Drosophila melanogaster: one gene and its partners. The gene in region 1 interacts genetically with each later gene. Each region holds a gene or a part of one and is shown in the gene's direction. Other genes may lie near its edges. The genes, in order: klhl10, soti and ScsbetaA.

Region 1 (9,998 bases):
AAAAACCCATGACCTAAACACGATCATAGATGTAATCAATAGTGGTATAGATATAATTAATAAGCTCAAAGAACAACACCAACAAATTGCGGTACTAATATTTAACCTAGAGCAATTTACAGAATATATAGAAGACATAGAATTGGGTATGCAATTAACCAGACTAGGAATTTTCAATCCAAAGTTTCTAAAGCATGACTATTTAAAACATGTAAATTCAGAAAAAATGCTAAAGATAAAAACGTCAACTTGGCTTAAAACAGACACGAACGAAATTTTGATTATTTCCCATGTTCCTAGCGAAGTTACTAAAGTTCCAATATTCCAAATTGTTCCGTACCCAGATGAACATAATTATATTCTAACCGAGCAAATATTCGATAAATTCTACATATTTGATAACCAAGTATTCCATAAAGATACCAATAGGGTAATATTCGACAAATTTATTATTGGAATCATGAAACAAGAGCAAACTCAATGCAAATATATTAAAACACATAAAAATTACCAAATAAATTATATAGAACCAAATATATTATTAACATGGAATATTCCTGAAACAGCCGTTAACCAAGACTGTACAAACAATAAAATATTAATATCAGGAAACAACATCATTAAAATTAAAAATTGTACCATGCAAATGGATGAATTCTTAATCTCTAATAATCTAGCAGACTTTACACAAACAATTTATATCACCAACAAAGTAACACGTCTAGAACCGATAAATCACTTACAAACGAGAGAAATGATAGAATCCCATGTAAAACACTATAACTTTTTCCAAATTATATGCATTACAACGTTCGTCATAATGATAATTAGTTTGACTCTGTATGTAAGTTTAAGTTTAAAAATATACCTAAGAAAATTATTGTCAAATATCGTAAGCAAAAAGAACACACGCACCTTGAAAATAATGTCAATGAAAATATTCAACAGGGATAATAATAATATTACCTTATACCCAAATTTAACGACCTGAGGACAGGCCAAATTCAAAGGTTGGGGGAGTGACATATCCATAAGTCCCTAAGACTTAAGCATATGCCTACATACTAATACACTTACAACATATACACCCCAATACAACATACACTACTCCGGATGTACCCAACAGATACCAGATAAGAATAAGATTGTTATATGATCCTCGAGAATGGAAAAACCCCCAATTCTAGATAAGTCACCCACTGGTAGACTAAACATCCGTCCCCTAATTTAAACAATACATTGCTTAAGCCTCAGCCCATCGTCACAATCCCACGTTCAAAGCTCGGAGCCGCAATCCCGAAAAACAAAAGTATCGATTTCAATAAACAAATTATAAGAATCTAAGAGCACTTGTATCCAAGAGCAAATGCACTTGAATCCAAGAGAAACGCAAAGCTTTTTCTCTTCACGATCAGAATCCTAAAGTCTAAAGTCCATATTAGAAAAGCTCGATACCGAGGCTTGAACGTCAATCAAATCAGAATAATTATCAGAGTTCAGTTTGAGACCTAATTGTAAAATGTCGGTGTTCTCCTCAAATAAAAAGATTGTAATCATTCAGTGAAATAAAAATTATATTTTTTTCACTTATAAATATTGCAAGAATTTAATTATATATATTTGTCAGATCTCCCACAAGTTAAGCTAAATTAGAATCGTAGAGGTTTATAAGTAAATATTTTAGGCAAAATTAACACATATATAAAAAACGATTCTAAAGATACTCAAGACTGGACACGATCATTCGTGTTGTGGCTGCTTCAGCAGCCTGGGGCTCGCGTTGTGCAGAAATATTCTCGGAATGCGCACGGATGAAGAAGAAGTGCCGCTGATTCGATGTGTGCGATGAAAACAAAGAAAAGATGCACACAAAAAAAAGATGCACAAAATGGGTGCACGGCGATCTGCTCCTTGCTTGCGGCGATGAAGGGTAGAAAAAGAACGCCAACTCGTGGGGGGGGGGGATTGTGGCCTGCGATCTGCACTTGGTTGGCAGCAGAAAAGGACAAGCCCAGCTTTCCGCTGCACGCGGTGGGTGCTCCTGATCCAAGCAGTTGTGAATCTTTCTGCGATCGATGAAGCCACAGTAAATTTCACACGTGGTCAAAAGTTGAGGGCGAAAAACAATGCAAGTCGCTTTGGCGACGCGGCCACTAAGACTTCTACCTCCAAATGTGGGACCGGCAGCAGGCTAGTTAAAGTTAGATCACGATTTAAACTATCACTTGGCAGTATTTGCCTTGAAAAACTCTTATCCGGTCTACACGATTCTCGTGGATTTATAATCAGGGACTTTGCATCAAATTAAACTGCCCTCGATCACGACTTTCCGAAAAGAGAACGGAAGTATGCAAATCAAGTGTGACCGTAGCTTGCTACAATCCTACACGGGAATTTTGTGGTATTTTATAGGGCAATATTCAATTTTGCCAGGATTTGAATTTGGCTATAATGGTTCGTTACTAAATGAGTGCGATAGCACATATAAGGTTGCCATTTTGGCTCGACTCCCACACTTTTATAATTCCCAAGTTCTCGACGTTCATAGGGACAGACGGACATGGCTATATCAACTCGGCTATTAATCCTGATCAAGAATATATATACTTTATACATACTGTCTGTTACATACTTACATGCTAGTACACCCTTTTACTCTACGAGAAACGGATATAATTATTGGATATAATTATTGTCAAAATCGATTCTTAGTATATTGTAAGTTTATTTAAATAAATACCAAAAATGCCCGATACTAATATCGTGAGTCGGCGGGAAAAAAAATTAACATTCCTTTTTCATATCAATATTTTTATATTTGTTTTTTTTTTGTGGAACCGAGTGGTGTTGCATAATGCTAAGTTTAGCCAAAAATTCGTTTGTATCTTACTAGTGCATAAAAATAGTCCGCTCCTACCGTTGAGGTATGCTTCTCGGAGTCTTTGTGTTATGGTAAATTTTTGTTACCACATTAGGCTTATGATTACATGGATACTAACCAAATAAGTAAATGTAATTAACCTTTTATGTTTAATGTTTATTTGACACCACAATTTTCTTCTTAACAAATTTATAAATCCGCGCTTAAAATATATATGTATATACATATATACAAATGTAACTAATTTTGGTAAAAGTATAAAAATGAAAATAACAGCATTACAAAGATTTATGTAAGATTGTTTATTATTATTGTTTATTATTAATTTAATTATTAGTTTAATTCTAAATGCGGTAATTATATAAAGTATTCTTAGTTTGTGACCGAACGACTGCTGCTGAGAACTCGACTGACTGCCACGCTGACTTCCACACCACTGCTGCCTTGCGATCGTTCCTTCGATGACTGATTGTCGATAACTTCGATTTCCGACAATCATGTTGCTGCTCAACAGCGCTGCCAACCGGGTTGTTGCCAGCCTTCAGCCTTACTCCATGTTACATTCGGCCCTCCTGATCATCATCATCCGACCCGGATGACAATAGGTCTGCATTTTCGGCTATGTACTTCCACAACTTCATGTTGTCACAGCTGGTGGATGTGACATTGGGTCCTTCGACGTTTGCTGCTTTTTTAACGTCATATCTGCCATTGTCTTTGACCCCTGTGACTTCGTATGGACCTAAATACCCGCTTGCCATCTTGCGGCCAGCTACAAATTGGGTCCTTTTAATTGCAACCAGATCACCTGCTTTGTATTTGTATTCAGCTCGGCGCTTTTTGTCGTAATTGCGCTTGTAGTCCTTCTGCGCCTGCTCGATGTTGCGTTTTACCAGCTGTCTCATCTCATAGCGGTCCTCGTTGAATTGACAGACCACTTCTTCTTGGAGCAGTTCCAGTAACCGATCCTCAACTCGGGTGTACATCTTGGTGCCAAACATGACCTCAAATGGTGACAGCTTCAGTGATGAATGCACGTGACAGTTGATCGCCTTTTGTACCTCAGGCACATATTTGTACCACTTCGACGGTTCGTCTGAAGACAGCTTTGATATTATTGCCAAAATTAAACGATTTACTCGTTCTATCTGGCCGTTGCCTCTGGCCACTCCAGTAGTTGTGCAGACGTGTTCCACGTTATGGCTGCTCATAAATTGTTCGAACGCACCACTCGTAAAGGCCGTTCCTTTGTCGCTAACAATTCGCTTAGGGAAACCAAAAATGTTTGACCAGTCGGTCAGCCTCTTGACCACTTCTTCCTGTCCGGTTGATTTGGTTGGGAATAACCAGACAAACTTTGAAAACGCATCGACTGTTGCCAGAATGTATTTATACTGTTTGGCCGATGAATCCATTGGCCCCAAATGATCGATGTGTAGTGTGTGCAACGGTGCGTCTCCTTTATCTATGCAATTTAGATATCCCTCCTGCTTTCCCAACTTTTTGCTGTGGATGATACATTTTATACAGTTAGAAATTAGCTTTTTTACCTTGTATTCCAAATGAGGAATAAAAAATTGCTGCTGTATGCTATGCATCGTCTTTTGCAACGACAAATGGCCAACTTCATGTGCGCTTTGAATCACCTCCCTCTCCATTAGTGCAGGGACAACCAGTAGTTCATTGCCATTGACCATACTATACAACAGGCCACCTTTTAGCTTGTAGGGTTGGAATAGACGATCTTTTAGAATTTCCGGGATTGCTCTAATTGAATCATCGTTCTGCTGCGACTTTTTAATACGTGCTGTCAACTCGGATGTTATCATCATGCATGCTTGGGGATGGCGGCTTAAAAAATCAACGTGTCTCATTCTTTCTCCTGCACGATGTTCGGGTTGAAAATTAAAATCCTGCATATAGAGAATCCATGGGCCAACTTCTCTTGGGACATCTGCTTTTTTTGTTGTCTGTTTAAATGCGACACAGTCCGTGACGAGCTTGAAAGGGACTCCCAATAAATAGTGTCTGAACTTTTTCAGAGCTAAGTATGCGGCTTTTACTTCAAGGTAGTAACTATGACGATTTGATTCGGCTTTTGTAGTTTTTCTGCTCCAAAAGCAGACTGGGTGAAAACTGCCTTCGAACTTCTGCAATAAAACGGCTCCTAACCCGTCCTTAGAGGCATCTGTATGAAGTTCGGTTTCTGCTTCTCGTGAGTAGATCCTCAATACTGGTTCGTTTACCAGAATCTCTTTCAGCTTATTCACCGACTGCTGCTCTACTGGTCCAATGTTGAAAATGGCATCTTTTTTTAATAGGTCCGTCAGTGGTCTCGCAATTTGGGCGTATCCAGGTATGAATTTTCTGAAGAATCCTGTGAGACCCAGAAATCCTTGAACGGCTTTTACATTCTGAGGTGTTCCAAAGGAATTCACTGCTGATGTTTTCTCTTTTCCAGGGCATATTTGTCCACCTTCGATAATATGTCCCAGGAAATGAATTCGCCTCTGCATAAAGTTGCACTTCTTCCATTTTATTTTTAGACCAAATTCTGCAGCTCTCTTAAGTACCATTTCCGTCTTTTCCATGCATTCTTCTGGGGTAGCGGCATATACAATTATGTCATCCATATATAGCTGCATTATATTGGAATTGATTAGTTCTTGAAAAATAAATTGAACGAACCGTATAAACGCTGCTGGGGAATTCTTAAAACCAAAGGGCGCTTTGTTAAACTCGAATAAGCCTTCTCGGGTAACAAATGCTGTGTACGGCTTGCTGGCTTCTTCTACGGCCACATGAAAAAATCCGTTCTGTAAGTCCATGGTTGTAAACCATTTGGCACTCTGCAGTTTTTCAAGCACCTCCTCCATTATGGGTACCGGAAAACAATCCATCAGAACCATGGTGTTCAATTTTCTATAGTCCACGCAAACGCGTAGGGTACCATCCTTTTTCTTGACAACGACTATGCGACTGGCAACATTTGATGTAGATTTACGGACGATTGACTGCTCGACCCATTCCTCTACCTGCTTCTTTACAGCTATAGCTTCTTCTTCAGATAGTCGGGTGTGTCCATGGCGAAAGGGTTTAATCACGCCATCAGGAATAATTTTGAGTTCGACTGGACATTGCTTTATCTGCTTGGGTGGTGTTTCGTATGTTCTCTCTATCATGCGTTCAACGTCTTCTCGGTATTGTGGTGCAACTGTAAAAGAAGATTCTTCACAAATATTAAACATTTGGGAATACTCAACCGCTTGTTTTTTATCTGCTTCCAGGTCAAGAAAAGTATAGCCTTCTGCACTACAGATAAGACGAAACTTGCTGATAAAATCGTGTCCCACTATTCCATCGCAACTGAATTTAGAATCGTGGACGACTAAAACGTTGTGGCTTGCTTCCACCTGGTCGGTCTTGATTAATGCTCTGAAGCATCCAATCGGCTGTGTTGAGGCATTTCCCAAACCTCGCAATACTGTTGCAGTGCGGTTTAAATCAACATCTTTCATCTTCTTGAATATAGCTTCTTTAATTATGGTCACATCTGATCCTGTGTCCACCAGACAGTTGATGATAATCCCATTTATGATTACTGGCTTTGTTCGTGCACTATCAACGTGAATGCGCATGCTGTTTACTTTTTCCGGACACTTGCTTGAGATATGGCCCTCTTGATTACAGCTGAAACATTTGGTAGGAAGTGTACAATCCTTTCGTTTGTGTTCCCTCGAACCACAGTTGAAGCAGTGATCTGCTTTTACACCTTGTGTAATTTGCTTTGGTTTTGGTTGAATATTCGGCTTGTCAACAATATTCAGACTCTCGTAGATTTCGAATTCTTGCTTTAATTCCTTAAGAGTTTTACAACGGAGCATAGCACCCTTATACTCCTTTTTAATGTCGAGGCCGTTTACGATATGAGTTATCAAAGCAACTGTTTCAACTTCACCTAAGGCTGCTATTTTCTTCATTTGTAACAAATAGTCGTGTAGAGTTTCCTCCCTCTTCTTCTTCCTGTCTTGCAACTTTTTGTGAATAACGGCGCTATTATAGCTGCCTGAAAATTCTTCAATTAGTAACTCTTTGAGTTCAGTGTATCCACTGACACATTCAGATTCTAAGAAAAGTTCTGCTGATCCAATCATCTTACTTCTGGCTTGAACATATTTTTGTTTCTCCGAAAGTTCATATGCCTCGGCATTTTTCTCAAAAATTTCAAACCATTTTTTAATAGGAATTGATTTGCCATCACAGTCACTTACAACTTTTTCAAATTTTTCTGCAGCGATAATTACTTGCCCCTCTTGTTTAGATTTTGCCAACATGCTCTGGGTTAGAGTATTCATCATTTGTTCAAATTTCTCTTCGACTTTAGCACTAGCGTCTTTATTCTGCTTCTTTGCCTCTGCTTCTCCTACAGGCGCCAACTTTTGATCTTCTTCGTTCATTTTTTCTTTTCTGCTTTCGTCCTCGCTTTCGTTCTCTAGAATTGCTTGTATTTGGTCGGTGTTAAGTTTTTTATTTGTAGGTGGTGTACGTGTGAACATTCCGCGACAAGGCACTAACACCAGCAAACAACGACAATGTTCTAACGGCGCGACGGTAGTCGATTTTGCAGACGGCGCCACCGGTTAAAAGACAAATTTTGATTTTCGTTAGAAACGAATTTCACCACCTTTGCAATTTAATTGTTTTAAATTCCACAACAGCAAAACGACTTGAGTCTGTATGAGTTCAATCGATTTTTTCAACTTTCAATGCAGTAGACGTAGCCATAACTTTACAACTTTAAAGACTAAATCCACGCACACGACAATTTCAACTTTATCAGTTCTCTCTAGCAGCTTTCCCGACTTTTACCGACTTGTGTTCAAACAAAATCTGTACAACTGATTTTTCCAACTTTAAATGCAATAGATATAGCCACAACTTTACAACTTTTAAAGACTATACCCACGCACACAACAATGTCTTTTTTCTTTAAACAACTGCACCTTCATATAACCGATTTAGGACTGGACGAGCCCCCATGTAAGATTGTTTATTATTATTGTTTATTATTAATTTAATTATTAGTTTAATTCTAAATGCGGTAATTATATAAAGTATTCTTAGTTTGTGACCGAACGACTGCTGCTGAGAACTCGACTGACTGCCACGCTGACTTCCACACCACTGCTGCCTTGCGATCGTTCCTTCGATGACTGATTGTCGATAACTTCGATTTCCGACAATCATGTTGCTGCTCAACAGCGCTGCCAACCGGGTTGTTGCCAGCCTTCAGCCTTACTCCATGTTACATTTATAAAACTGAAAGTCGTATTTAACCCTATTTATGATAATAATCATTTTTGTTTAGGCTTAGCAGTCATTTTGTTTTCCCCCATAAATTTATTGTTGCTATTCCTACATTGACTAATATTCCTGTTCCTGCAGTTAAATACGAAGGTACTTCTTTTCACAGTAAAAACAAAAATTATTAGAACGCGAGGTAACAACCATTTACAGATCCCACCTATTTTATTTACGTATGTGCCTAATTTCCACCCCATAGACACGGTTCAGCATCGAACACAGTAAAGGGGTTGGACTTCACCTCGTTCTTCTAATGAGTCGTAATCAAAACGAAAGCAACCTCCTTGATATCAATGAAGATCTGCCTTTTGCTCTTGCTCTGCCCCCCGTCTCAATGGATTCGTTGCAGCTGAACGCAGACGGCAATAGCCCCGAGGACAAGACGCTCGGTATTGGCCGTAAAACCATTTTGAATGCGCACACAAAATCTTTGGCTCCCATTGTGAGTGACGAGGCCCTGAACACGCTAAATGAGCTCCGCGAGCAAAATCTTCTCTGCGACGCCCAGATTTCTGTGGGGGAGGATGTGTTCAACGTACATCGTGCAATAATGTGTTCATGTAGCTCATACTTTCGGTGAGTTAATAACTTCACCCTGAATTGTGAAGATAACACGTATTCCCACCAGAGCTCAATTCACAGGGTTTAACGCTGACACTCCCGGATGTGTAGATGGGTCAGATGCAAAAAAAAACAATAATTTTATTCATATCCCCGGCGTGAGTTCATGTATAATGAACTGTGTAATACAGTACGCTTACCTGCGTCAAACAAACATCTCCGAGAGCAATGTTCATGAGTTACTTATCTGCGCTGACTACGTTGGCATGGTAGGTTTAGTTAAGAAATGTAAAGACTACCTCGGTCGCATACTCACCCCCGAAAACTGTGTCAGTATTATGGGATTCGCACGGTGGGTTTAATTCGCTAATTGTCGTAAGGAAACCCTTTTAATTGTTTTACGTAGGTTCCGATTTTTGGAGGACCTTCACCTGAAGGCCAGGAACTACACTCTAAGGTACTTTACTGAAGTTGCATATCGTAATATTGACATACTAGATATGTCAGCTGAAGACTTTTACAGTATTATTAGCGATGATGAGTTAAATACCCGCGAAGAGGATCACGTATGGAAATTGTGTGTTAAATGGATCGACCGTAATCCAGAAAGCCGCAAGCGCCATGTTGCCCATCTAATGACTGGGGTACGACTGGGCCTAATGACTCCAAAGGTGGGTACACACATTTTTTATTTGAAATTCAGGACTTATTTATTGCATTACCTTTTATCTCTATGGTCTCTTGTCAAACTTAAAATGAGAACCAGCAACACCACGGGGAGACCATTACAATTGTAATGGGGTCCTATATTTACATATAAGACCTTCGAGTCGACTTGAATGTTTAACATTAAAACATTTCCATGTTCCCCAATTAAGTTATTTTTCTAACAATTGTTTTTTATTATATATTGCTCGATTTTTCAGTCGTCAATTATTTATATATCGCTAATTTTTTTATTTGTGATATAGAATGCTGAGCTTAGCTTGCTTTGAATTATTCTAGTGTCTTTGCTTTGGTCATATATTGAGGCACGAAGTGCGGACACAAGCATTCAACAATCAGTGTCTTATTCATTTTTTACACGCCGCAAGCGAAACAAGAATTTTTTACATATAAGGTGAAAAGCATATTTTGTCGAATTTACAATGCATGAGTATACGTGTGCAAGTTAACACAAGCCAACGTCCTA
Region 2 (8,823 bases), on another chromosome or scaffold:
ATTCCAAGTTTCAAGTTGTTTATGACCAAGACTCGGGTGCTACTCCTCTTCTGAGTGATCATCATCGCCATCATAGTTGGCTGGCATGCACTTCGCTGCCAATTTAATGGCGTTTTTACAACTTGAAAGATTCGTGCCCGACACGCCGTTTTGAGCGATGATGGTTTTCTTTTTCGGGGCACCCAGTTCCTCGCTAAACGCACACCAAATGCAGCGCAGCGAATGTCATTAGAAACATAAAAATGATATTAATTGCATGCGAGAGTGCAGTCCAGGGAATGGAAAACGAGTTTGGGATTGGGATTCGGTTTGGGATTGAGATTGCTCACGGTCTTGCGGATGACGATGGGAATGTGGATGGTTTGTGGCAATGGCACATGGCATGCAATAGAAACGTCAGCGCCATGATGATGGAATACTCCGAGGTGGCGGCATGGAGATTGTCCGGGTGTTTGAGCAGCCACAACGATCTCTTTATCCACTTACAGTCAGTGAAAAATGGAATGAGTGTGTTCCGGGAATCAACACATCAAAACGTGATTATTCTTTTATTTTTAACGGGGGGAACAATTACAGAATTAATAAGCTAGCAATGTAATTAGCAAATTGAATATGAATAATCTTGCTTTAATCTTTTAACAGATCAAGAAAATATTAATAATATTAACTATCTAGCTTTTATACTTCCCGAAATCTCCGTCTTTATTCTGCCTGTTTACTTTACTGGTAATAAACTGACAAAAATGTTGGTAGTTTCAGAAATTTGTTAAATTAAGACTACTTATTTAATATTAAGCAAAGCAAACATATTCCTTTACCTCATATCGTTTTTTTTTTCCAGTGATGCAGTTTGCACTTGGCACATGGAAGGAAATCCATGACTGTGCCCAAAAGCGCCAGAGCGATCCACTTACGTCTGAGCATTTTGTGTGGTGCTCTTTGATGGAGACGGCTGCCACAGCGATCGCATAGCGCTGATAAATAATAAAAATTAAAAATAAATTAACACCTAGTAAAGATGCAGTGGACTGAGTGGACTGGGAAATCGGGGACTGCGGCATGAGGACTGAGGACTGAGGACTGGGGACTGGTTTCCCTGCCACTTTGTCCCTGCTCCGTCATTACTTGGGACCTGGTTTCGAATGTTGCCCGTCCGCAGACAGCTTAAAAATAGCGCAAAAGTAATTAAAAACGAAAATATAAAAGAGCAGGAGACAAATGCACGCACAGCCACATCCACATCCTCATCCTCATCCGCCGACTGTCCCCACTTGGAAAAATGGATATAAAAATAAAAATAAAAATTATGCTCGACTGTATTGAATTTAACAAGCGCAACGTCGATGCAGGCGGAGATCAAAGAGGACTGGGGCTCCATGGGATAATTTACCCGAAAGTGTTGTCCTGCCTGGCCGATAATGATGATGCTAATGCAGTTGACATTTTATGTGGCCATAGAATGCCGGGCATGGCCGATAATTAAATGCAATAATAATTCAATTTAATTAGCTGGCAGCTGGTTGCTGAAGCTGAAGCTGGAGCCGACTGCACGTCACCCGAATGCCCCAAGGGTAGTGTTAAAATATTGATGGATTGATTAGCATAATATTTGTTTTATGCTTTCACATTGTTTGGGGATTTGGTTTACGGGCGTCAGCATCGGCTAATTAAAACACCTTAAAACAGCTCATTAGTTAACCAACATCTGTCAAGGGTGTTGATTATGTACTTAGAAGTTGTCAGCAAATGCAAACTGACGGATTAATGTGAATGTTAACTGAGGCGCAGGATGAAGTTGACAGATGGGAAATGTTAATTGGGTTCAATGATTTTGCATTAGAGATTGTTTAATTGGAAGCAAATATCACTAATATACAACCACTTTATATATACACTTGTACAAATTATATGATAATAATATGCTAAGACTCTAATTTTAAAACTAAATTAGGATATTAAAACGGGGACTTGCTAATTTTCTAACCATTAACATGACACCATTTCCATCGAGTGAGGTCATAGACAAACACTCGTTTATTGGCTGACAAATCCGATTTAGTGTGAGCTTTAAATAAGCCGCACAAACAGGCCATACATATGGCGATATATCCTTGCCCAGGAGCTTTCATGGACACAATGTTCGTGTTGGAGATATTTCATTGAATCAATTATCGCTGGACATGGCATAATAATTACTGTCTGCTGCACACAGAAGCGCACACTTGCAGACACAATCCACCCACCACCACCCACTTCAATCCAGTCCAGCCCAACCCAGCTCAACCACCCAAAAACAGCCAACCACCCACGCACCCACACACTGGCAAGGTCGCCCGAAGCGACGAAGCAGCAGGGACATGTTCATTTCTTCATTGATAACTGGAAGGGAAGCTCATCCTGGCCTCGTTACTTAACCAACTGTAACAGTCCAACTCGTCTCTCAGAGAGGCAAGAGACTCGAAGAAAGAGATGGGGACAGGTGAGCAGAGAAGGAAGGCACGAACTGACGCAAACAGAAGGCGAAGGATGCAAGTTGCACTTAGAGAAATTGTATTACTATACACAGTAAGTTTCATTAAATGATATGAGTAAAATCAACTTAAGCACTAACTATATTATTTGTAATATTTCAAATGAATATAAAAACATCTTTGTTTATTGTTTATAATTTGTAATTTATTTTACTTGAACTTTTATTAATGCCTAACAAAAGATTTACCAACAAAAATTAAGATAAAACAAAATACTCTGCCCCGATTTGTCTCTGTGCAGCAGTAAAACAAAAATTTGCCCGTATTAAAGCAAAATAATGAAGTGAAAATGGCAACAATGTGATTACACACAGTCATAGACCCAAAGCCATAATAAATTGTTCCACAAGCGAGAGGTCAGATCTCAAGAGAGAGAGAGAGAGAGAAAGTGAGAGAGAGAGAGAGGAAAGAACGCAGTGAGAGCGAGGGGGAGCATCTGCGCATGCGCTAATCGAAATGTTGCTGATACATCCTTGGCAACATGATGGTAATGGCTAACTTGTTGGATGCAGCTGCTCCACTCCACTTCATTCCACTCCGCTTACACTTCCACTTCATAATTTCCTCCGGCGGGAAAAACTTTTCGCTCTCACAGCGATTTGTCTGGCAAACAATTTCCGAAATGCGATTGCTTAAACGCAATACGAAAAGTTATTAATTGAGCTGGCCGTAATGAGCTCATTTACAGATTGTAATGTGCTCCCATTACAGGCACACAAACAGCTGCCGATTTCGATTTCTCGATTCTGAATCCGGAGCACTTGATGCCAGGCATTCGAGTCGAGTTAAATGGCTTGTAATGACGACGTCGATGGGGCGTCGGTGGGGGGTTGTGAGTTCGTAAGGGTTGGGGTGGGTAAATAGGGCTAAATGTGTCCAATCACTTGGGGGCTGGCTATTGGGGTCTGAACCCGATTTGGAACAAGGCGAGCAAATGTCAGACAGCGATTTCCCATTTGTCACTGGCCGTTCGATATGGATATGACTACATCTAATGGATACACACAATTCTATCTAATCGCCCCCAGTTTAGGAGGCTGGAAAACAGGCGAAAAACTTTCGACCAAATGGGACTTGGTATGTGGCAAGTTTTCTTTGCTGATGCTCTTGGCTTCTAGACTCTCTAAATAATATAGAAATGACAAAACAAAAAACATCTTCCTCCTATCATTTATTAGCAAATATTCCTTTGATTTTTATGTCAGGTTTCCATTTCTCATAATCACAATGCCATGATATTAAATTCAGTTCTAAATCAAACTCAGACACTACAACTACAAAACGACACAACTGATACTACAGAGAAAAAAACATCGTATTGAATAGCAGAAGCACAACCTACACTGCCGTATTTATTGTTCAATTTTTGTTGGTTGTTTTTTTTTTTTTGTATGTGCCTGTAAGTTGGAATGGACGTACTACACGGACACGATCTGTACGATGAGCAGCTAATCGATCGAGTCGGCGACGCGGTGAATGAAGATGCTGGCGATGACTTGGACACATTGGAGGATGGACAGCAGCAGCAGCGCCTGGGAGTCAATCGTCAGATGGACATACTCCTGGACGCTCCTCAAGAGCCACCGTTGGGCGTTTTTCCGGCGCAAGGAGGGCCAAATGGACCACCACGTCGGCGGAAGAAACGAAGTTTCTACACTATGACCAAACCCACTCCGCCATGCCAAAGTCAGGAGCCGGAGATGTGCCTCCTAATGGCCAGTGTCACGAGGGCAATGCGTCACGTTCGCGAGGATCAGCGAGGCGAGTACTTTGCAAATTACCTCGTCGAGAATATGACCAGTCAGAACTACCCGAATGGTATGGGTCTGCCACAGCATTGGGGTCAGTTCTGATTCGCCATAGTTCTCCCATAGATTGTAAATTAGAAGAACCTCTCTTGGACCTCGGAAGATCGAGCAAGCTCATTGGGATCCCATACTACACATACATGTACACGTCCATATATCCAACCAGCCGATATGCATCCCATTAGTTATCTTTCCTCTAAAAACTTGCTCAAAACAAAAATACGTTACACCATAGTTATCTACCGCTCCACCAAGCTCAAAAAAGGAAAAAAAGACGTTACTTTACTGACTTACAGTTGAAAAATGTTTGCGGTTCAATCTTGTTCAATAAACAACACGATTTAGCAAACTTATATTTTCATATTTGGTTTTCAACTTATTGTTTTCCAAATTTATTCTACAATTGTTAACAAACCACATAATATATAAGTACCACATATATGTTAATAAAAACCGAATGATTTATCTAAATTAAATTGTCTATACAGTGACTATCACACTTTATTCAATATTTTCAAATCGAACTTCACTTACAGGTATCAGATTAATAACGCATTTATTGTTCAAATAGAGACTACTCCCTCTTGCAGCACCTACATAACGTACATACAAATCAAAGTTTTTGATTTTGATTTGCTTGCCGGCGGAGGCCGATTGGCCTGAAGGCTACCGAAAAATTCATGAAATTGACAATTAATAAACTTCAAATTGGAAGCCCCACATACGCCATGGATCCCATCACTCCGCCTCTGCCCTCTCATCTCTCCCTCGGCATTCTTGTGGCAAAAACAAAAGGATTTATATAGGCTCCCCTCCCAACAACAACAACACACATATGTGGACTACGGCCACTGACAATGGCCACAATGAACAGATGAACAGTGGAGAACCAGAGACAAAGGCCGAATGCGGACAATTGCCCAAAGTGTAGCAAATAAATACAAAATGCAAAAGATAATTGCAATCAAAGCCACAAAATGTAGCCAAAAGGCTTATAAATTGTGGGCGGCAGGCGGCTGAAATGCCGCAGGGATGAGGAAGGGGTGGTGGTGGGGGGGAATATACCGAAGGTAAACGCATTTAATTTCCTAAATGTGCTTCGCATGCCACAGCACAAAGATACACACTTGCATTCATATACAAATAGGCTGCAGTCAGTTGCAGTTGCAGTAGCAGTTGCAATTGCTGTTGCAATGTTGCAGTTGCAATTGCATTGGCCACATCACCAACGCCCCCTCACCCCCTATCCGCCCCAACCACAACAAGAACAACAGCAACCAGAGCTGCAGCAGCAGCAGCAAAAAGAAGAAGCAGTTGAAGCGACGGCAATTTACGGCCATTATTGCAACAGACAGCCAGCTTTATTATGTGCCACGCCCGCAACATAAGCACTGAAAACAATATGCGTTACAATTCCTATCAATTAGTGCTATTTATTTATTTAGTGCGATTTAGAATAAGTCTTCAAATATAAATAAATATATATATTTTTAAATATTAATCTACCATAAGGTTTATTTTAACAATGGTCGTCTTACTTTTAGTATTAGGTTTGTTTGTTGTTCTACAAAAATGTTGCAAAATGTCCATGATCATAATATCCCTAATTTATTCAATTTAAAATGAAGGTATTAGTTGGAGTTTAATTTGCATTAGCCTTTATTCTAATAACAATTAACTATGAACATGTTTAAATCAAGGGCTAAATTTGCTGTGATATTGCTAGTTTGGCGCTCCTAAAAGCCGCTTTAAATGAATTAAATAATCTCCAATGATAACCGCATAATTTAATTGTCCCAGTGCAAGGACTCCATTGCACCATTGCACCCCTCCCTCGCTGGATGAGGGGGGGGGGGTTGTAGGTCGGTGTGGGGCAAGTCCTTCTGCCATAACTTTTTGCGGCTGCTTTTAGGCTGAGCTTTTGCATTTGCTTTTTGGTCGCTCTGTGATTGCGTTGCAAATGGCCACATGCAACAATGTTTCTGCTGTTGTTGTTGTTGTTGTTGTTGTTTTTGTTGTTGTTGTTGGTGGTGGTGGTGCCCCCGCAATGGCGCGCCTTCTAATTGAATTGCATTGAATTGAATTGATTTTCGGTTAGCTTTGTCCGCCTAATTGTTGCTTTTACATGGGCGAGATGTCCATTTGAAAGCAATACACATAGAAATCAAATTAAACAAAAGTCGCGCCACAAAAGGAGTTATCATAAATGGTTTGGGGGGCAACGTTTAAAGCGTAATTATGACATGTTGCAAGGGTTGATTCATTTAGCAAATGCTGCAACAATCTGACAACCGAGTGGCATGGCGTTTTGCGTTCGAATTCCATTGTTTGACAGACGATTCGAAACTCTTTCCATCACATTCTGTCCATTCTGCCCATTCTGCACATCCATGCTAAATGGACCCGAGTTATTGGGGTTGTTGCCTCGGTTTCCTGACTTTCCTGGATATTCCACCCGCCGGCAGTTGAACGCACGAAATGTGATTGATGCCCATCCGCTATCGCCGAGCTCCATTGTTATGCCACGTCTTTGATCTATGGCCACCCTCCATCACCTGGGCATTGTTGAGTAATTGATTTTGCCTCACGTGACTCTCCATTCCAACCGCCCAAGCACCTAACAACCCAGCTTCACCCCCCCAAATTTGGCCAAGTTAATTTGCCTTCATCTACTTGCTGGCATGAATTCAATGTCGCGGCAACTTCTTGCAGTTTCTCCTTAATTATACACACACTTAAGTTCGCATTAATTATTGTCATTGAGTTCAGTTCCCGGGAAATATCCCACCAAAAAAAAAAAAAAAACACACACAAATGGTCGGGATTTCGCCCGCTCAGCAAAGTTACATACAAACAATTACAGCAACGCGGCGGGGCTAAAAAACTTTAACAATTATAGAACGCATGCTTTAAATACTCTATTTAATGAATTATGTTATGTATTGTAAGAGCTATAAAATAATATGAATTACATATTTAAGCAATGTTATTTAACACTCTATTATTATTCAGCTTTAAAATATCCATATATCCATATTTATTCTCAGTTAAATAGAAAATTTCTCGATTTCCGTGTGTGTTTACGAGGTGGTAATTACTTCAGATGTTATTGTTCTCAAGTAATGCCCATGTAGTGCCATCTAGAGCATTTAAACATCACTATTGAGTTAAGCGCTATACATACTTTGTTTTTATTCTGTTGTATTTATGGAGAAACGTGTGCAGAAAGTTTTCCACTTACAAACAATTCACAAGTAAAATACCTTGACTTTTGCTGCCGCTTCTGCTTCTGCGTCTGCTTTTGCTGCCCATGGAAAATGTTGGGGGTTTTCTACGGAGGAAACTGATGTCTGTGACTGCCATTACCAAGGCTCTTATGCCACTCTGATGCCCCTGTTTAACCTCCCTCTACCCGTGACTTTTCCACTGCCCCTGCCCCTGCGGCATATGGCACTCACACACACATCTGCACTGAGCTCGTGTAGCAAATTGTTGGAAAATAAAGTAAGTACACCAGCAACATAAACAGCAGCAACAGCAGCAACATCCGCCCAAACGAATGGCAAACTGAGCATCAGTTGGAGGCACTTTTCGACGTAAGTAGCGTGGGTGGGCTGCAGTCTGGCTAGATTCCTTGTTTCTCATCGCAAAACCCCCACCCAATATACCCCTTGTTAGGACTACATTGCTAAGTCCATCCCAACCCTACCCGCCCCCCTCTCATTCCCCTTGTTAAGACGGCCAAGTGGCAATCCAAGTCGGCTGTCTAAATACGAGCAAGCGATTTGTGTGTCTAGTTGCTAGTTGGCAACAACGACTTTGTGCCGGAGCCATGGCAATAGCTGCCTCGCCAATTGAGTTTATGCCAAATAATAATATTCACCTGCAGCTTTCCGCTGGGATATCCGCAATAAGTAGGTATTGCATCCACGGGTGCATCTTAAAAATGCAACTAATGAAATTACTTGAGTCGACGACTTCTCCTGTTTCAGTGTAATAACCTAATTCCATGGTACTATATTATTCATTTCGCTGCACCCAGCCGACAGGAATTTGATGGAATTTCCTGTAAACAGGCAGCTCGCAGCAGACAGACAGACGTACCAGACGGACACACAAGCCACTTCCCTCGAATAGACAGACTCACAGACAAGGCAACGCATACAGTGAACAGCCTGGATGTAGGAAGGGGACACGAAGTCCGACGGGTACATAAACAGGCTTATGAGCAGCTCCTCGTAAGCGAACTTCCATTGAATGGTTGGTCTTCTGTTGCCACCACAGACAATCAGAAAGGCATTCAGCCAAGAGAACGCCGAACACCAGCAACAAAACTTGGCCAAAACACAGGGAAAAACTGATAAAGAACATTTTTTAGAAATCTAAATGATATTTAAGATCTTAGCTTAAATTCCAAAGTAATCAGTAACTTGAACATTTACTTACTTTTCTAAGATTAATTAATAAGGAAATAAGGAGGCTTA
Region 3 (11,883 bases), on another chromosome or scaffold:
GTTGTAGTGGCACTAACTATTGCCCATTCTATATATATTACCCTTTGAACCCATCAACACCTTATTGAAAATTATTTTTTTATTATTCTGATCTGCTAGTTAAGTAAAATTTTTACTGATTTAATTTTTGTAATTTCTTGCTGGTACGCATTACTGATGTTTGACTGTATCCAACTTGCTTAAGCTAAGAAGCCATAATCCTCCTTCCGATTGTCTGTGCTTCTTCCGGGGTGCCGGAATCATCACGAGATGTAAGAAAGCCCCTGAGTCATCCATCAATCGCTGGACTAACCCTCAGAGCAAGTGCCTCCATTACCCTTCTCGGAGTTTCAGGTGCACTTGCTGTATGGATGGATAATCATCTCCTGGGGAATTGCTGCCAAGCAGCTCCATTTGCCGATTAGCCGACAGACCACCAGAGCACCACCGCACGTGGTAACGCTCGTCGGCACCATTTGAGTTATTCTGGAATTTATGTATATGCTACTTCGTAATTGCTTATCAAGCAGCTCTGCAGACCCACTGGCGTGCTGTTTTCTAATCTGGACCAAGAGAAAGGCCATTAAAACGAATGTCCAGCTGGAACGGAGTGCAAACTGCTTTGTGTAATGGTCGTCAAATGGCAATGCAGGTGGTAATTTCGTTTAATTGTTTTTACTGGCTACGTAGACTGCTTTGAATGTTAACCTAATGGTGGGCGAATGGGAACAAATTGATAAAAAAATTAAAGAAAATGAATATATATATATATATATAGGTTCTATATTAGGTTCTGAAAACAGTTTTTTATTTTTTCAAAATTTTTTGGTTGTACCACCCTAATGTATTTTCACAAATTCTGTTGATCTGGAAACATTATCTCTGCAAACTGCTCACCGTTACTTCTGTTGCGCCTGCTCTTTCGCCTTCCAGTACGAAAAGCACCGTAAGTCTCCAAAATGCAGATGAATGGAGAAGTGGACCGCGTTGGCGAGGGATCCAAGAATATTGGATCACTTTCCTCCAAGCGATGGCCGCAGTCACAAGTGAATTCCCCAGCAAACCGATCAGTTATACCAGCACCAATACTTCCGCCAAAACCTATTATCTTAAGTCCGTGAAAAAGCGGGTGACCACGTGTTTCCAGCAGTTGCGCGATAAACTCCAGTCATCCGGTTCCTTTCGCAAGAGTTCCTCCAGCTGCCTCAACCAGATCTTCGTAAGGTCCGATTTCTCCGCATGCGGCGAACGCTTTCGGAAGATCTTCAAATCGGCGCGAAAAACCGAATTGCCGGAGTTGTGGAAGGTGCCATTGGTGGCCCATGAACTCACCAGCCGGCAGAGCAGCCAGCAGTTGCAAGTCGTAGCCAGACTCTTCTCGTCCACTCAGATTTCCACCAAGGAAATCACCTACAACAGCAACAGCAACACCAGCGAGAACAACATGACCATCATCGAGAGCAACTATATATCCGTGCGCGAGGAATATCCCGATATAGATAGTGAGGTGCGCGCCATATTGCTGAGCCACGCCCAGAATGGAATCACGATATCGAGCATCAAGAGTGAGTAGCTTTATGTTTGAAAGCTTTCTTCTTTCCAGAAGTTTCGACTTCATCAAACACTTCAGAACTTTCTCTAAGTGGCTATATTTAGTTAGAAATCTAAAATGTATAAATTTTTAGTAGGTTATTAAATTTTATTTGGATTATATAACTTTTATAGTTTAGTATATTTATTTTAATTTATATTTTTTCTATGTTTCTTTTTTGTAAGATTACCCTTAAATAATTCTATAATTGAAATTCGCCAGGTGAATATCGAAAACTGACGGGCAATCCATTTCCACTGCACGACAACGTGACGGATTTCCTGCTGACCATTCCCAATGTGACCGCTGAGTGCAGCGAGTCCGGTAAGCGGATCTTCAACCTGAAAGCGAGCCTGAAGAACGGTCACCTCCTGGATATGGTGCTCAACCAGAAAGAGCGCACCAGCGACTACAGCAGCGGAGCTCCGTCCCTGGAGAACATACCACGAGCACCTCCACGCTACTGGAAGAATCCCTTCAAACGGAGGGCTCTGTCCCAGCTGAACACCAGCCCGAGGACCGTGCCCAAGATAACGGATGAAAAGACCAAGGATATCGCCACCAGGCCGGTTTCGCTGCATCAAATGGCCAATGAGGCAGCGGAGTCGAACTGGTGCTACCAGGATAATTGGAAGCATCTGTGAGTACTGAAAAGGTGTTTTGTAGACAGTGCAACTATAGCAAAAATAAACCTTTACTTAACAAAATGTACTAATCTTTCTACTGAACTCCTAGCAACAATTTCTACCAGCAAGCCAGCGTAAATGCGCCAAAAATGCCAGTACCCATCAACATCTACAGCCCCGATGCCCCAGAGGAACCAATCAATTTGGCTCCACCTGGGCATCAGCCAAGCTGCAGAACCCAAAGCCAGAAAACCGAACCGACTGAAAACCGCCATTTGGGCATCTTTGTGCATCCATTTAACGGCATGAACATAATGAAGAGACGCCACGAAATGACGCCCACGCCAACGATTTTAACCAGTGGAACCTACAACGATTCTCTGCTGACGATTAACTCGGATTACGATGCCTATCTGCTGGACTTTCCGCTTATGGGCGATGATTTTATGCTATATCTCGCCCGAATGGAGCTAAAATGCCGATTTAGGCGTCACGAACGCGTCCTGCAGTCAGGACTTTGTGTATCCGGACTGACGATCAATGGCGCCCGAAATCGTTTAAAAAGAGTCCAATTACCCGAGGGTACTCAGATCATCGTCAATATCGGATCGGTGGACATTATGCGCGGCAAGCCTTTGGTTCAGATCGAGCACGATTTTCGGCTACTGATCAAGGAGATGCACAATATGCGATTGGTGCCGATTCTAACAAATCTTGCACCGCTGGGCAACTATTGTCACGATAAGGTATTATGTGACAAAATCTACCGATTCAACAAGTTTATCCGAAGCGAATGCTGTCACCTAAAGGTCATCGACATACACTCCTGTCTAATCAACGAAAGGGGCGTGGTGCGATTTGATTGCTTTCAGGCGTAAGACTTTATACCATATACCATATCATATGAGTTTACGATTTGTGCCACTTTTCAGCTCACCACGCCAAGTCACCGGTTCCAAGGAACCCTATCTGTTCTGGAACAAAATCGGTCGGCAGCGCGTACTGCAAGTTATTGAAACGAGTCTGGAGTATTAAGTTGGGTTCTTAATCAAGATACATATATGCAAATTTTGACTGGGCTGGCACCGGAACCGACAAAATAAGAACTTTTTGATGATTTTACGATTTACGCTGATGGATCGCTGCTTTTACGGAATTCGCTTAGTTTTAATATGTTTTATATGTAGTATGTTCTCTGTCTTTGTTTATTTATATGTTCGTGCACTTGTCCTAGTCCATTATTGTATATTATTGTGTGTTTTGTGTTCTATGTTAGATTTAAACTTCTCAATTTTTCGCTGTCTGTGATTTGTTTTGCCAATGCCATTGATTTTCTGCACACTTTTTGCTGCTATCCCAAAAGCTGTGTAAAATAATCAAATGCAAAATAAGCGCAAGCAGCTGAAAACTTCTCTTCAAACTTTTCCGCTTTTCCCAAAACCATTTTGCTTTGAAATCTGTTTTTACCAAATCAGATTAAACTGCAAAATGGAACTTAAATGCAAATCATTGCAATGCTTATAAACTGTTTTTTGTTCTATATACTTTTGTGTGGGTCAAAATTCGGCATGCTCCTGTATCACACAACCTGCCACTTGCCCTTAAAAAGAAGGGCGCAGTGGGCGTGGTACGTATACATATGAGCCATGCTGCATTTTGGCCGTAATGAAAATGCACTGCTTTACTTGGAAAATTCGCTTGCACAAAATCAACGCCGCGGCTGATTTATTATTGATGTGCTCAAGCAAATTCAAGTGAAGCATTTGCGCGATTTTCGTCTTTCTGTTTCCGTTTGCAAAAAAGTTTATAAAATGCTTACACTCTGCTGCAGACACGCCAACCGGAAGTGCGCACTAAGCGCTTGTTTGTAGCACAGTGTAGAATTCTGGCGTAATTTACAGCTCTACTTTAAAGTCTTCTAGATAGCTATCTACTATTTATAAACTTATTTATTGTCTTGAATGTATGTTAATTGTATGTATTGATGGTGATCACGTTTTTTTTGTCCTATAACAAGCTGCAATGTAAAATCCAAAAAAAAAATGAAAAAATAAAATAAAAGGGAAATCAATGATTTTGTTTGCTCTAAGCTATGTTCAAAGTAACTGGGAACTAATCGAACTAATTTCGATTTAAAAGTGGTCTAGATTATATTGTGACATTTGTGAATATATTATTATATTTGCGAATTTATTATTATCATAAAAATAACGGTAGTTGAAAAATAATTTAGATGGCATGCAATATTAAAAGTTCCCGCCAAATTGGCTTGAATCTTTGCTAATATATTACAGTTTCCAACCTTGCATTAAGTTCACGATAGTTTTTCGGCATTTTCGATTGTAAAAGCATAAAAAAGTCCCTGCTATCGAAGCTCTACCACCTCCATCAGCAGGCGACGGCAAAAAAATCTTGAAATGTAAGCAGTAACGTCAAAATTCGCTTTCAAATCGTTAAACGTACGTTCTCATTCGATTTCAGAACAAAATGGCTTCATTCTTGGCACGAACTGGCGGCCCCCTGATCGAAACCGTTAGGCCAGCGGCCATAAAAAAGGTGAGTTCGCCAATTAGTAGTCATATTTGTGTGTAAAAAATGCGAAAATCCGTCGCTTTACATAATAAGGCGAAAAGAGAGAGTGAACACCTACGCTGTCCCCTTCTCTGTCTCTCACTTACTCACACATGTGAAATGCTGATCGTTTATCGGTACAAAAAAAAAACTTAAGCGATAATTTAAGTTCTTTGCCATTTGTTAACTAATTGTTTCTCCAGAGAAACGGGGAGAGTGTGAGATTTAAAGAGAGTCACGATCACCAAAGACACCTGACTTTTTTATTGTGTCAGTGTGACGCAACTGTGCGCTTTTCGTACGCATGTGTGTGTGTGGGGACCTTGAAAGCCCCATTTATTCCCCCACTTAATTTAGTTTGTTTTTTATCAATGAGCAGCTGACAACTGTTGCTTATCGTTTGTGGTTGTTGTTGCTGTTGTCGCCGGGCCCTCTAATTAAATTCTTAATCTGTGAATTAGTTTCGGTTATCACCGGGAAACGCCGTTAGCCGGACGAACTTGCTCTTAACCCAGATTTCGTTTCTTTTCGCCGCTTTTTGTTTATGTTTTTTTCACATGAATCACCGAACCAGTTTTTTTATGTTTAATTTTTGCTTGACAATGACCTCGTGACTGGAATTAAGATTTCATTTATAAGTACAATAAGTTTCGAAATCGTTTTTATTTTCATCCTTTTAAATATATTTTTAATTATTTTTCTTGTTATCTTTAATTAGCATCTAATTTTCGCAAATTAACATGGCAAAAATTCCAACCTTTTCAGATTCTTGGCCTGGCTCCCATCGCCGTCCAGCAGCTGAGGAACCTCAATGTCCAGGAACACGTTTCCTACAGTCTGCTCAATGAGGCCAAGATCCCAACACCTCGGTGAGTAAACCCAATCGGAATTATCAAAATCGCGGGCAAACAACCAACAATTTGCGTCAAAGTCGCAGTCCAAAGTTCAATGAAAGTGCCGCGTTGTCGTTGCGTCGTCTGTTTCCTTTGGCTTATGTGCGTTTTGGACTTTGCCTGAACTTAATAATATGCATTGAGTATAGCCGACTACGGGGTAAACAAACCAGAGAAACGCAGCCGCCGATGATAAGGGTGATAACAAGTTTTATACTATAACACACTTTGATCGGCGTAAAGTGACAAGGGTCAGTGACGTGGGCTTTGATAAGATGGAAGCGGCATTAGTTGACGTCTATCATAATTAAACTAACTAAATATACATAAACTTTGGGTAAAGAAAATATATTTTAATGTTTAAAATACCTGTAATTTAAATTTAAGCAATTGCAAAGCTAGAATATTTTGATTTCCATTTCGTTTGATAAATTGAGATTATTAGAATCAAAAGATAGTAGTTGCTTTTGCTATTATTCAGGTAAAATCAGGCGACTGATTTATTTTCTAAATGAGGGCTTGTCATCTCTCGAATGACCGAATAACCTTGTCTCAACTTTCAACCTTTGTGGTCTACTGATAACACGATTTACGTGAAATGTTCCTATCAACAATCAATCAGGAACATCGTAAAGAGCGCACCCCCAAAATTATTTCGCGTACTGAGTGATTCATTTTTTTGCAGTTTCGCTGTTGCCAAGAACGGCAAGGAGGCCAACGATATCGCCACCAAGCTGAAGACCGATAACCTGGTGCTGAAGGCTCAGGTTTTGGCCGGAGGACGAGGCAAAGGAACCTTTAAGAATGGCCTGAAGGGAGGTGTGCGAGTGGTCTACGAGTAAGTTGTGATATATGTCTAATATCTGTGTGGTAAAACATAAAAAACAAATCTTACTCCGCAGTCCCCAGACCGCTGAAGAACTTTCAAGCAAAATGATCGATCAGCTTCTGGTCACCAAGCAAACCGGAGCAGCCGGTCGCATCTGCAAAAAGGTGATGGTTGCCGAAAGGAAGTTCCCCCGCCGTGAGTTCTACTTCGCCGTGATGATGGAGCGTGCCTTTAACGTATGTCTAATAACCATGCATTCAACCCTGTGAAGCTATAAAAGACGATTCAATTTCCAGGGTCCCGTGCTGATCGCCTCCAAGGAGGGTGGTGTTGATATTGAGGAGGTGGCTGCCAGCAGTCCAGATGCCATTTTGTACGAACCCATCGATATAGGCACTGGCTTGACCAGTGAACAGGCCGAAAAGATCGTCAAGAAGGTTGGTCTGGGCGGCGATGGCGAGGACACACATGTCCAGATGCTGTTGAATCTGTATGACCTGTTCGTCAAGAAGGATGCCCTCTTGGTTGAGATCAACCCCTATGCCGAGGATGCCATGTCCGGCTGTAAGTTTAGTTATATATGTTCTCTTAAGCCATGTGTTGTGGTCTAATTCTAATGTCTGTCTCATCCTAACGAACTAACTCATTTGTGATTGTCATTGTACTGGATTTGATGTTTTCTGTCCAGGCTGTAAGTATATTTCACCAATAATAACCCTTTCCATTCATTAACCTATGTTTAAACCTAATGATTTGTAACAACTTTCAATGATTACCTGTAGTCTTCGCATTGGATGCTAAGCTGCGATTTGATGACAACGCCGAGTTTCGTCAGAAGGAGCTGTTTGCGCTGCGCGATTGGACCCAGGAGGATCCCAAGGAAGTCGAGGCTGCCAAATACAATCTGAACTACATTGCCCTGGATGGCACTATCGGCTGCATGGTGAACGGCGCCGGTCTGGCCATGGCCACCATGGATATCATTAAGTTGTATGGCGGTGAACCGGCCAATTTCCTGGATGTCGGTGGTGGTGCCACTGCCGAGGCGGTCAAGGCCGCCTTCAAGATCATCACTTCCGATCCGAAGGTGCTTTGCATTCTGGTCAACATCTTCGGTGGTATTATGCGTTGTGATGTCATTGCCGAGGGTATCATCTCCGCCACCAAGGATCTGAATCTGAACATGCCCGTGGTTGTGCGTCTTCAGGTGAGTTTTCATGGATGCATTTATCTGACTTGCTGAGATATGCTAAACAAAACTGGTTTGCATTGCAGGGAACCAAAGTCAAGGAGGCCCGCGAACTGATTCGTACATCTGGACTGAAGATTCTGGCCCGCGATGATCTAGATAAGGCTGCCGATCTCGCCGTGCACTTGGCGCAAATCGTCAAACTGGCCCGCGAAATGAAGATGGACGTGAACTTCGAGATTCCCGATGCCCAAAAGTAGATAGCTCCATCAGTTACCGGCTAAGTCAACACTCATAAGCACACGCAGACACAAAATGAAAGTCGACAAAAAAGTAGAACCAAAACCAAACATTTACTCTAGCCACACGTAAACTACTCAATGAAACTATGCCATCGGTTCGTAGTTAGAGCATTATGTATTCGTAACGATCGGTCGAACAATTGATGAATTAATTTTGCAAAAATGTTAAGTTTAAAGCTGTTTAAAGTCCTAAGGATATGTCATAGATAATTCGAATAATCGAGCAAGTTGAGTGTTCTCTTTGCACCTAAACAATTTCTATATTGTATCTTAAATAGTCAACAACATTAATTGCACGTGAATAATAGAAAATGGAAATGAAAATACGTTTTAATTGTGATTTTTGCAAAAGTTCATTTAAATTTTATTTATTGAAATGTGACCCTGCTTTTAAAGCAGATCCATCATCTTGTGTATTATCCTATTTAGTTTGCTTTAAATTAAAACACCAAACAATCATACACCGAACCTGGCTTTTGCGTTATTCAAAGACTGCTTAAAACAGTGCGTTTTAGTTCATTTTTAAATAGAGTCTTACTAACTTTAATCACTGCACCTTAGGGGCAAGGGCGATTGCAAGAAAGATCAAAAACAGCCCGACAGTAAAGGTGGCAAGAAGTCGGAGAAGAAAGATGACAAGAAATCTGATTGCACAAAAAAAGAGGAAAAGAAAAAGGAAGAAAAGAAAGACATTTGCGAAAAGAAAGGTAAAAAGTAAAGGGATACAAATTTTGTAATAAACAATGCAGGATCGAGCCGGATGTGTTTGAGACTTACACCATCAAAAAGAAGGAAGCCATTGTTTAAATTCAAAATCCAAATTTGCCACAAAAGTTTCATTGTTCAAAATTTTAATCTCAAATTTCAGATGTAAACTTCTGACCCGCCACATTTTTAAAGATTTTCATAATATTTATGTTTTGTTTATTGTGTGTTGAGCCTTAGAAACGATCGACTAGAGATAATATGTGGTTCTGCTCCTGTTCCCGCCAGTCGGTGTCGCCATCGCCCAGGTTGCCAGCGTATTCTGTGAATGAATTTGAAATTTGAACATCTAAGTTTTACTGGGCATTCCATTTGTGGTTTACCCCTCATTATGCTGCGAATGGTCTTCATGGAAGCGCCGCGCAAGTTAAGGATCTGCAGTACACGCTGCTTGACGGTGTCGCCAGTGGCACTGACCTCCAGCAGGATGTAGTCGATGCGCTGCAGCGTGAACAGCCCGCCGGTCAGTCGTTTTATATAGTTATTCTCCGCCTCCTCGTCCTCATCAATGGTGGGATCCTATGCCATGATATTGGTTTTCAATTGATTAGTTTATGGTTACACATAAAACTTCATTTCGTACCTTAGCCTGCTGATCGATCTCCTTGTCTATGGCTTCCACCTTGGCCAGATACTTGAGGTGCAGCTCCAGCAGGCGATCCACCTTCTCGTGATCATTCTCCGTGAACTTGGCCAACATTCGCTGGCGGTGTGTGCCCTTGCAGTTTCGCAACATTGATGCGATTACGGAGGTCACATGCTCCTCATGCTCATCGGCGGAGATTAGGCGCTGCTTGTTGCGCTTGGGGGTTTTCATAAAGAGTGGGAAGATGGTGCGCAAGCCGAGAATTTCGACAAACTTGTTGCAGTTGTCTCTGCCATCCTGGCCAGCCATGGCATGATCCAACACCTTGAGCGATCCATTTCTAGACATCTTCTTCTCGCGCAGCATTAGGTTCATCAGCTGCAGACCCTCGCCGCTGAGAAAACGATCGCGATTCTCGCGGGCCATCAGAGCGGAACAAAGGCAATTGAAGAGGTTCTGCATGTACTCCTGCTCCTCGTTGCTAGCGGGATCGTGTCTCTTGTAGACAGCCAGCTGCTGGAGCAGCACATCCACGCCATCCAGAGAACCCAGCAGTAATCGGTTCTCGTTCTCCGTTTGTATAAGTATGGAAAGTATCTCGCTGCAGTAGAGTTTGTTGGGATCGAAGGGCGACTTGCCGCGCAGCCGTTTCAGCAGCCAGGCGAGCAGTCCCTGTTCAGCGGCTTCCTTCACGAATTCCGAATCGATTTCGGTAAGATTTTCCACTATGGCCAGCGTATTATGCACGCCATCGGCTTCCTCCTTAACCTGTTCGTTCAGTCGCTCCAGATTCTGGACAAGCAGAGCACAGATTTGCTCTTTTCTCAGTGCTTCAATCAAGGATTCGGCACCCTCTTGACTTTCGCCCAGGATATCAACATCGGTCACTTCTTGCAGCAGATCTACCACGGCCACGGCTATGTCTGTGTTCTGATGTGCCAGCAGTTCGAGCAAACTGTGCAGGCCGTGCAGATCCACGAGAATTGGATACAGATCGGGCACCGTGGCCACGCCCTTCAGCTCCTGGATTACCGTGTGCAGCTCCACCTCGGAGTCCATGAACTTCTCGGGACTGTCGGCAAACTTGATGCGCATCTCCTGGTTCTTCAAGTTACGCTTCTCGAACACCAGTATCAGTTTCTTCAGGCTCTGCTCATCCAGAACATCGCCATCGGCCTCCTCGTTCTCCACGTACTTCAGGATGTTCAGGCGTTCCTCCTCTGTCAGTTCCGGATCGAATTCAAAGGCGGAAGTGCCACTGCCACCGGTGGCTCCTCCACTTTGCTTGACATAGTGTGCGGACTCCTTGGCATCGGCGATGCGCCGCATGCGTTTGGTTTTCTCATCGACACCGCCCCGTTTTCCGTGCGAGCTCGCCAAATCGAATTCATCGTCCTCGTCGTCGTGCGGACGCTTTGGCGTCTGTTCCGGCTACAGTTTGGAATGGTCCAGGTGCATGAATATCATTGGTATTATCCATATATTTACCTTAAACGCCAGCAGTTCGCCGATGTCCATTTTTGCGGGCCTTAAAAAACAATTAGTGCTGGAACGTTAGGCGATTCTTCAGCGATACTATCGAACGTGAACCGCACGTGAATGAAGATAGGTTCAGAACCATGATAAGCATGACTTAGCGGAGACTCAAGCCCTTTAACCCTTAGAAGGTGACATCATTATTTTGTTTGAATCATATTTAACTTCAAATTAATTCATAATTCTGATTTCAATTTGTGATTTAAATTTGTTATTACCTACATTTTATATAAATCAAAAATTAATTCAAATTTTAATTCGCTATTATATATTGCTTTTCGATATTTGTGCTCTTCAAATGTTACTTGAATTATAAGATTTTGTTTAAATAAATATATAATAATAATAATTACTAGGCAATTTTACAACATTTTATAAAGCAAAGCTAACAATCCTAAAAGAGCTTTAATAAGTTTAAAAACCTAGAATATGGTTTATAATTTCTGTATTCTTTAAATAATTAATACTTTTAATATGAAATTTAAAACTAGCAACTTGAACCCATTAAACATTTCTTTCGCCCACCCAGCCTCCCAAAAAGGGGCCTTTGGCTGTTTTAGCCCAGCGCCTGCGACTTTGACGACGAGTTTACATAAATTCCTAAAGGCCAAGCCCCAAAAATAAATTTACAACTGCTTTAAGCTCTGGCAATTCAACAAGTTGTTCGCGTCTATGAGTGTATGTGTGTGTGAGTGAGTGTGCGCTAGTGTGTGTGCTTTCTTCGAGCCAGTCTTTTTTTTTCAAGTCAGTTCGTCAGCGTGATTTGGCGTTGTTGTTGCTGCCTGTGCAGTTGCCATTGGTAGTGGTATTGGTATTAGTATTGTTGCTGTGGCTCCTGCCGCTTTTTTACTTTTTTCTGGCTTGTTTCATGCTGACCCACTTTTAGTGGCAATACGTGAGCCCGAACAGTGGGGCAAAACCTTAGTGAAAGCTTCGCTGTAAAAGAGCTTTAAAAATAGAAAATATATGGGAATTTTAAAGTGATCATATAAGCTATAGCTCAATTACGAAGAATA

The links.
Region 2: of klhl10 (region 1) and soti, changing one suppresses a phenotype caused by changing the other (phenotypic suppression), as found in Drosophila melanogaster (one study listed by BioGRID).
Region 3: of klhl10 (region 1) and ScsbetaA, changing one enhances a phenotype caused by changing the other (phenotypic enhancement), as found in Drosophila melanogaster (one study listed by BioGRID).

The regions. Positions count from the first base shown.
Region 1 is NW_007931083.1:48,447-58,444, forward strand, and holds the start of klhl10 (kelch like family member 10), read left to right. Parts: upstream 1-4,995; 5' UTR 4,996-5,096; intron 5,097-8,255; exon of another isoform or gene 8,256-8,381; intron 8,382-8,444; 5' UTR 8,445-8,498; coding exon 8,499-8,821; intron 8,822-8,873; coding exon 8,874-9,158; intron 9,159-9,212; coding exon 9,213-9,477; intron 9,478-9,998.
Region 2 is NT_033777.3:14,376,647-14,385,469, reverse strand, and holds soti (scotti), read left to right. Parts: upstream 1-3,770; 5' UTR 3,771-3,940; coding exon 3,941-4,384; 3' UTR 4,385-4,807; downstream 4,808-8,823. UniProt on the Drosophila melanogaster protein: Post-meiotically transcribed gene that has a role in late spermiogenesis; required for actin cone progression during spermatid individualization.
Region 3 is NT_033777.3:8,934,137-8,946,019, forward strand, and holds ScsbetaA (Succinyl-coenzyme A synthetase beta subunit, ADP-forming), read left to right. Parts: upstream 1-4,587; 5' UTR 4,588-4,615; intron 4,616-4,621; exon of another isoform or gene 4,622-4,677; 5' UTR 4,678-4,683; coding exon 4,684-4,752; intron 4,753-5,532; coding exon 5,533-5,636; intron 5,637-6,345; coding exon 6,346-6,498; intron 6,499-6,562; coding exon 6,563-6,725; intron 6,726-6,785; coding exon 6,786-7,053; intron 7,054-7,177; coding exon 7,178-7,180; intron 7,181-7,271; coding exon 7,272-7,696; intron 7,697-7,764; coding exon 7,765-7,934; coding exon of another isoform or gene 7,935-7,938; exon of another isoform or gene 7,939-8,421; intron 8,422-8,541; coding exon 8,542-8,698; 3' UTR 8,699-8,891; downstream 8,892-11,883. Other genes in the region: osk (oskar), read left to right, coding at 1,010-1,544, 1,793-2,210, 2,306-3,070, 3,129-3,231; CG11964 (uncharacterized protein), read right to left, coding at 8,922-9,007, 9,069-9,264, 9,329-10,762, 10,820-10,849.